2 linked regions of the Cricetulus griseus genome follow. The protein of the gene in region 1 interacts with the protein of each later gene in a pairwise test. Links are inferred from orthologs where the notes say so. Each region holds a gene or a part of one and is shown on either strand. Other genes may lie near its edges. The genes, in order: Cibar1 and Cby1.

What was found.
Region 2: the proteins of Cibar1 (region 1) and Cby1 interact in binary tests that used the Homo sapiens proteins (3 or more experiments, as listed by UniProt). The two-hybrid records come from large-scale screens. The link is inferred for Cricetulus griseus from reciprocal best matches to the Homo sapiens genes CIBAR1 and CBY1.

What each region holds. Positions count from the first base shown.
Region 1 is NC_048595.1:126,381,168-126,385,675, reverse strand, and holds the start of Cibar1 (protein FAM92A), read left to right. Parts: upstream 1-1,403; 5' UTR 1,404-1,445; coding exon 1,446-1,678; intron 1,679-2,157; coding exon 2,158-2,392; intron 2,393-4,508. UniProt on the Homo sapiens protein: Plays a critical role in regulating mitochondrial ultrastructure and function by maintaining the integrity of mitochondrial morphology, particularly the organization of cristae.
Region 2 is NC_048595.1:376,827,438-376,831,706, forward strand, and holds the start of Cby1 (protein chibby homolog 1), read left to right. Parts: upstream 1-1,352; 5' UTR 1,353-1,452; intron 1,453-3,839; 5' UTR 3,840-3,873; coding exon 3,874-3,951; intron 3,952-4,269. UniProt on the Homo sapiens protein: Inhibits the Wnt/Wingless pathway by binding to CTNNB1/beta-catenin and inhibiting beta-catenin-mediated transcriptional activation through competition with TCF/LEF transcription factors.

The sequences.
Region 1 (4,508 bases):
TGAAGTGCATGTATTTTGCTGTACTTCAACATAACAGTGGTCTTGAGGAGGACAGTAAATGATGATGGGAGGAGGTGATAAGGTTGAATTAAAAAGGCATGTAACATATGAAGAAGTGAGTCACAATACACAAGAGCAAAGACTCTTCTGACCTTTGGTTAGGACTCCATTCTCAGAGACTATGGGCATTTGACAGATGGCTTCTGCAATAAATACAATGGAGAAGAGATGAGTTTACAACATGAGAGAGCAAGGAGTTCTAAAACAGAAGTAATAACATGTCGGGCTCTGAAATAGAAATTACAACATGAAAAAATAGGGGAATTTAAAGCAAAAGTTACATAAGACTGGGACATCCATTTGTGCAAGATAACCCTTCACAAACTTGTAGAAGGCACTGATGAGCACAAGACAAAAATCACATTTTCTCTGCTTCAAGGAGACAACACAAAATCAGGACTGTACTAGTCAAGTATGGGAGAAGCCCAGTGAAGCAGATAAAGCTTGATTTGGAAACTGAGTTCATTTGAAAGAGAAGTTTCTCTCTGTCTCACTGTCTCTGTCTTTCTCTCCCCTCCCCTTTCTCACCCCGCCCCCAACACACACAAGTCTAGGCCATAGGTGTTCAGAAGTTAAAGGAAAAGCTCTGGGTTATCCGTGTGTCTTCAAAGTGGAGACTTTCATCCAGGCCCACTCCATGGCTTCTTTCTTTGACTTATTCCCTAGATCTAACATCATCTGCAGGGGGAGGGGTGAATTGAAAGATGAGGCAGTAAGCACTGTTTTTTGTGCTATCTAAATTCTTTTTTTTTTTTTTTTTTTTTTTTTTTTTTTTTTTTTTTTTTGGTCAATTTGACACAAGCTTGAGTTATCTGAGAAGAGGGAACCTAGATTCAGAAAATGCCCCCATTAGATTGCCTGTAGACAAATTTGTAAGGTGGTTTCCTTGATTGATGATTAATGTGGAAGGGCCCAGCCCACTGTGAACAGTGCCACTCCTGCTCAGGAGGTCCCAGGGTATATAAGAAAACCAACTGAACAAGCCAGCAAGCAGTTTTCTTCCATGTCCTCTGCTTCAGTGCCTGCCTCCAGGTTCCGGCTTTGAGTTCCCAAATAAACTGTGACTTGGGATATGTCAGCCATAGAAACCCTTTCCTCCCCAACTTGTTTCTCGTCATGATCTTATCACAGCAATAGAAATTTAACTGATTCAGCTGCTCTTTTCCAAAGGCAGCTTCTGAGAGCCAGCATGACACATTCAACAAAGAAGCGTGGGCACATGGCATTAAGTCCTCACTGCCAGAAGCAGAGCCCGGACCCCATTCACCTTTACTTTCTCGTGCTCCTTCCGGTTACTGGTGGGTTGTTTTTCTCCTTTGCTTCCAGAGGCTCAGGAGAGCTTGAGAGCAGCACTGAAGGAGGATGCTCTGTGGTCCCTCAACCCAATGCCCTCTGGTTTCTCTTGCCCTGCTCTTGACCACAGGGGCGCGCGCCGCGTTGCCACGGAAACGCCGGGCAGGCGCGGGGGCGCGCATGGCGCGCTCTCGCCTCCCGGTAGAAGTGGCGGTGGCTCCTGTTCCCGCGCGCCGTGGCGCCCCAGAGCCGCGCTCGTTGGGCTCCCACCCCGGGTCTCCGGCGGGGAGCAAGGCAACATGTTGAGACGCAACCTGGAAGACCGGTAACTGCTCGGGACCTCGTCCTGCAGGGGCCTGGTCCTGCAAACCGCCCGGGGGAGAGGATCGGGTGGGCGAGGGGAGCCGGGCCCAGGGCTCGAAGCCGGCCGGGGTGGGAGGAGGCCGCAGGGTCCCCGGAGCGCTCTGCACCCCGTCCCCCAGGCTTCAGCTAGTACCAGGCCGAGAGAGTCTCCCAGCCGACCCATCCCACTGAGCTTGGCCAGGCCCTGCCGAGGTAGAGAACCCGGGAGGCCGCTGGGCCCCGGCCAGGGCTCACAGCTGCCGCCTCTTCTGCGGGCCCGGCCGGGGCCTAATCCCGGGCCTGCATGGTCTTAGGGTAGGACCAGATACTGAATGGGGTCCCAGAATAGGACGGCCCCCGGGACAGTTGGGGAGGTTGGGCTTCGGGATGCCCCGGGAGTGTTTGCATATAAAATTAACGGGACACCATCTTAATTTTTAAAACAGTGTCTCCTTTTTCTAGAGATGCTCAAACAAAACAACTGCAGTCTGCTGTCACCAATGTGGAGAAGCATTTTGGAGAGCTTTGCCAAATCTTTGCTGCTTATGTACGGAAAACTGCCAGACTGAGAGACAAAGCCGATCTCCTGGTGAATGAAATCAACTTGTATGCCTCTACCGAGACCCCAAATTTAAAGCAGGGTCTGAAAAGCTTTGCTGACGAGTTTGCCAAACTTCAAGATTACCGCCAAGCAGAGGTATGAAATTCGGTCATGGTGGCATTATTATAAACACAAGAAGTAGTGTGTAGGATTTGTGGAGATTTTTCCATTGTAACTTATCTTAACCCGGCGAATGCACACTTGATGGAGCATTTCCTGTCTGTGAGTCCGCTATAGGGAAACTTTCTATGAATTCACAGCTTTCAAACTAAACTTTGGGTGTGTTTGAGTCTTAAATTTCCCGGTTCATTTGCCAACTCTGGTTACAGGGTGCAAGTGTCCAGAAAAGGTGTCAGATACAGCACTTATAAGAAGGAAAGCACCTGCATATCCTGGGTACATCAAGTGCGCTTTAAAGGACAGCTAGAGATGGAAATGCTGAAAATGACAAAATGAACAAATTCCCAATAAATGGTCAGCATAGTGCTGATATTCCCTTGGTTTGAAAGTTGAACGGTCAGAAAGCTGTGATTTATAAACAGAAGCAAACCAAGTGATGTATCGGAAAGGTTGGCTGTGTGGTTGCTTTGAGTGACCAGAGTCTTGCTCTTGTGGGTTCTTTCTTAAAAAACAATAACAACAAAAACCCACATAAGCACTTTCACATCCTTCTTTTAAATGCTAGTTAACTTATAAAAGTTGCCTAGTTTAAACTTCATTGCTCTTTTACTTTTTAAACAAGTGCCATTGTTCTTTTCCTTGTTTACATTTCAGTTACCAAAAATTTTTTGAACTTATCATTATGCATACAAAATTTGAGTACTGATCACTCTGGGATACTGTAAGGAAAATGTTTTCTTGGCATACATTTCTTCTATAACAAGCAATACTCAATTATACATGGTAACTGAAGATTTAGTATTTTAAAAGTATTTTTTAATGCACAGATAATCCTAAAGTCCCTGTTTGCAGTAGTTTCCCCTTTCTTGAAAAATTTTATGCTACTTATCAAATAGCAAAGTGAATTGATTTGCATTTGCTCTGCTCTGTTTCCCTGCTTACCAAATGGTGGAGATGCTAATGAACATGACAAAGGTAGGCAAGGGAAAGAAATGGAAGCCTCTAGAACAGGCTTGAATAATCCTCTCCGTGTACGTTATTGACAATGGTGTAAACTGTCCTGAGTATTCAGAACTCTGATTTTAGAATTCTGAATATGTAAATTACTGATGGGAACTTATTTTTTACATTTTATACTTCCTAAAACCTTCTAAAATGAAACATCTATATAGCATCACTTCCAGAAAATAAAGCATAAATATGAAATAAAATTTCATTGATTGGGTATGAAATGGAAAGGCATTGATTAGATAAACATGTATCATTTTTGAAAAGCATTTTATTTGCTGTAAAAAATGTTTGTCTTAAGCAACAGATGCCATCTACTTGCCCACCCTGACAAAGTTGCAGTACCCCATCATTTTCTTGCCTGTGTATTTGTAGAAAAGATACTTCTTCGGTTTCTTTGACTAGTGTTAGTAAGAGAGTTACTATTATTTTTTGATAAAAATTTAAGTGAGTATGAGAAAGTGTTTAATTCTAGATAAAAAGAGATCAGCTGTACAGTTTGGCAGATCAGCAGTGCTAATCTAATCCCACTTATCTTGTTCTCTAGACTTTGATAAGTCAAATGGCTGTCTAAAAAAAATGCAGCTCATACAATAATCCCTAAGCTGTTTGCTTTTGAGAGTCTTTAATGTTCCTAGTAACACTGTATCTTTCAGATTCAGGCTTTCTGAAAAGTTGAGCTATAGGAATTAGGAGACGGGTATCTGTAATATCTGACAGTATCTGCTTGAACACATGATGAAAATGGTAGCTGTCCTAAAACTATAGATGCCTTAAAAACGTCCTAGAAGCTGCAGCTGTAAGGTAAACACTGTGCTTGTTCAAGGATGAGCGCTTTGAAGTGCCAGGCACATTCCTGTCAGGCTGTGTTCCAGGTGCTTGTGATTGAGGCTGTTGCTGTGTGTTTTACATTTTTAATGTTTGAGTGTAGATTCTGAGTATTAGCAATATCCAGATGATTACCCTTTATAAAAATGTCATAGGGTATCATCTTGAAATTTCAAGTCTTAATCTCTACAGTATTTATTTCAGGTTAAACAGTATAGATTTCATTTCGATGTTTAAATTTTGATATTTCTATGTT
Region 2 (4,269 bases), about 250 Mb from region 1:
GCCAAAGCAAGGTTAATTTTAAAATATTTATGTTTAAGCATATTTTGGACAAGCAGAGTTAACTAAAACTGTAGTCAAGTTAATCTGTTTTGATTTTACTTTTAACAGCGTAGGGTCAGGTGTGGTACCACTAGCCCTTAATCCCAGCACTCTGGAGACAGAGACAGGAGGATTTGGAGACCAGCCAGAACTACATAGTGAGACCCAGGGTCAAATCCCAAGTGTTAAAAAGGAAAAAAGCGTAGGGGTTTGGTGTATGTGTGTACTCCCAGCACTGAGAGGCCAAGGCAGGATGAGTTGAGAAATCAGGGCAGCCTGGGCTACCCAGTGAGACCATATCTCAAAACAAAACAAAAAACCCCGAAGGTGCTTTGGGCATAGCTCATCGGTAAAGCGTGGGATCCGCGTGCACAAGGCTCAGGGTTTAACAACAAAAGGCTGCAAATTACAAGTGTGGTCTGCTTTATGTTTCTGTTGTAACATTAAGTGCTAGGCTAGATATGGCTAGTTTTGAACGTGAAACTCTCTCTTCTAATGCAGTGTGGCAAAGGTGGAGGAAAACTGCCCACAGACCGCCTGGTCCTGTCCCTTACAGCTGGAATGATACCTAGTGCTAGGCCGCTAGAAAACATCTCTTGGGTGGCCCATTTCTTCATTTACCAAACAGAACATAGTACACGCCGTTAGGAATTGAGGAATTCTGGAGGGGATTCTCCAGTTCTCCGCCCCTTGTTCATTGGGCGACCGACCTTCCTGGACCTGTTTCCCTTGCTCACAGTCATGAGGCTGCGGCAAGCCTGGCAGGAGCCGGTTTGCTGCTGGCAAGGTGTCGTCCTGTCTTACCTGAAAGCTTCGACGGAATCCCAAAGCCTCAGGGCCGGTTCCACCACGGGTCCCTCCGGTGACCCGACCAAGCTCTGGATGGCTGCCGGCACCCGCGGCCCCCAAATCACAGGGAATGGGAGCGCTTTGTTTTGTGGCCAGGGCGGGGGAGCCGGAGACCCGGCCATTTTGCTACTGTGAGTCCAGCCCAGGTCACTAACACATTCCCTTCCCATAACAATGCAGCCCTGAGCCGGCGCTGAGGCCGCCACCCGCGGTTACCATGGCGACGGCGCCGCCACCCGGGGGCCAGACCAACGTGTTTAGGGGCCCACTCCTCGCCTTGCCTATGCCGCTTAGCACGTGAGGAACTCCAGAAGACTTTCCCAAGGCCTTCCTCTCTCGGTGAACCGGAGGGGACCCGCGGGGGCCCAGCGGCTCCGCGTAGGCTCATCTGGGAGGTGACACCCCCTCCGTCCTTAGTGGTAAAGGCCATAGCCGCGGCGCACACGCGCGGTGGGAGCCCGGCGCCCGCCAATCGCAGTCGCGGCGGTTGACGCGGTGTGGGCGGATCCTTGCTTGCAGAAGGCTTGGGGATAGCTCTGGACTCCCACTTCGCAGACGCACCAGGTACGTCTGGGAGCGGCATTCGAAGTCTCGGGCTAGCCATGGTGGGTGGGAGGTGGGTGGGACACCCTGGTACCACTGGAGAGGGTGGTGGGCAGGCCGGGTGGTGGTATGCTCCGCGGGCGCGTCTTGCCTCGGTGACTCGGGACGGTGTTTTGACCCATCACTTGAAGGGTGTCTTAAACCGGTACTGAACTCTTATGGTTCTGTGTCCGTGCGCCTGCAGAGTTAAAGTTGGCCCTTAGGTCTTTCGAAACACTTTTTTCCTTTGAGAATCGAGTGAAAACCGAAGGTGCTTCCTTTACCTTCTTGTCGAGATGAATTCAGATAATGCATTTTATAGCCTGATGGGAACTAAAGCTTCGCACAGTAAGTACAGTTCCCTGAGAGGGGCACAGCTTGATCTGCTTCCCAGGGTTATGGTGAGCATCAAATGTGCCAACAACTTGTAAACACGAAAGCACTTCTCCAAGCTGGGTGCTGTTATTATTCCTGGTTATAAATAAGGGACTCGAGGGCTAGAGAGATGGCTCCTCGTCTAAGAGTACTAGTTGCTGTTGCAGAGAATCCGGATTCCATTCGCAGCTCATAACAGCCAGTAACTCCAGTTCCAGGAATCTGAGGACCCAAGGCACGTGGTACGCAGGACTTACATGCAGACAAAACACCCATACACAGAGAAACAATAACGACAGATAAAGCGTTTGAGGCCCTTGGTATAAAATGCTCAGATTGGTGTTGGTTGGAAACCAGGAATGGCCCCTTAACTTTCTTGATCCTGAGCCCTGCCTATGAGAAAGCTTCACTAAAGAACCCTAGGATTAAAGGTATTTAATCAAGGCAGGCATATCTCTATGAGTTCGAGGCCAGCCTGGTCTACAGAGTGAGTTCTAGGATAGCCAGGACTACATAGAAAAACCCTGTCTTGAAAAACAAAACAAAACAAAAAAACCCTAGGATCTCAGCCAGTTGATTATAAAGTCATCCAGAGAGTCATGCAGGGTGCTGTGATGGTCTATGCCTTGATCTAGAAGTGTGTGTGTGTGTGTGTGTGTGTGTGTGTGTGTGTGTTAATTTGTGAAGGGCCAAAAAATAAATAAATTTGTGAAGAGGACTGGGGAAAAGGCTCAGTGAATACAAGTGCTTGCTGTACAAGTATGAGGACCCGAATTCAAGTCCCCAACACCCCAGTAAAATGCCTGATGTGGACTTTAACGTCTGTAATTCCAGCATTGTTGGGGACAGAAAAAGGACTGCTTGGACTTGCTAGCCATCAGTCTAGCTCCAGGTTCAGTGAGAGTCCCTGTCTAAAGGGCATATGACAGAAAGTGATAGGGCACCAGACCTGGTGTCCTCTTCTGGACTCTGTACCTACACACACACACACACACACACACACACACACACACACACACCTCTACATGTACACATGCATACAGCACATAAACACATACATTTTAAAAACTGCCATGAAACCTTGAGGTTTTAAAACTTCTCTTTATTAGTTATACTTAAATTAAAAAGATGTGCCGTGGGTTGGTTACGCATGCCTTTAAACCCAGCACTCGGGAGGCAGAAGCAGGCAGATCTCTGGGTTCGAGGCCAGCTTGGTCTACAGAGCTAGTTCCAGGACAGCCAGGGCTACACAAGAGAAACCCTGTCTCGAAAAACAACAACAGAAAAGTTGACCTCTTTCCCAAACTTGAATGATGTTAGTGATTTTATGAGCATTGCAAGAGGTTGTGACTAAAGCTGGTGTATTGGTGACAGTGTCATGGTCAGCTCCACTATGTTCCAGCTCTCTCCTTTTCTTGAGAAACCTTACCTCTCATAACAGGACAGGTGACTTGACACATGGACCAAGTGATAAGCACCACTGTCATTCTGGGAATGAAATACCCAGATTGTAACTATCTTCTGCGGATATGCAGAAGTTAGTGTTCCTAGCGCAGCTCTTACTGGCTTCTGGGGACAGAAATCTCATTCTTTGGGCCACACTGTAATACTGGTGAGGCCAACCTGGGCCAGGCTTTTAACATAACTGTGAACATAACATAACATACTTTGGTTCAAATGCCCATTGCCACTGAAGACCTTAGCTTTCTAGATGTCACCAACCAAATGGGGTGACTAGGAGGGGCTTGTCAAGGGTTAATTGTGAGTTAAAGGAGATCATGCAATGGCATTAGCATAGTGGCTGGTGCATACAAAGCATCCAAAGCCTGGGAGCTCCTACCAGGACTTGTAGGACCTCAGGCCTCCCTTTGCTGTTCTATCTAAAAGGACAACTCTTGCCAGTAGATATTGCCAGGATTGGTAATTGTCAATGGCTAAAATGTTTTTATGTTTTGACAACAATGAAATAAAGTCTCTGATCTGTTTGACCCTAGGAGAAGGAAGTGCTGGAGTTTCCTCGAGTCAGGAATGCCTCTCTTTGGGAGTATATTCAGTCCAAAGAAGACCCCTCCTCGGAAGTCTGCCTCTCTCTCCAATCTGCATTCTGTGAGTGGAGATTGGGGTGCCACAAGTGGTGTCTGGGTGGAGAGACACACTGTGGGAGGGCACCCTTTCAGTTTATATCATTAGTCAACTTTGACTTCCTGTGTGGGAATTACTGTCAGAGTTTATTCAAGAACCCACTAATAGCCAGGCAGGATGGCACATGCCTTTAATCCCAGCAGTCAGGAGGCAGAGGTAGGTGGATCTCTGTGAGTTCAAGGCCAGCCTGCTCTACAAAGTGAGGTCCAGGACAGCCAGGGTTACACAGAGAAACCCTGTCTCAAAAAAGAAAAGAGAACCAACTAAGATAGCTAAGCCTCA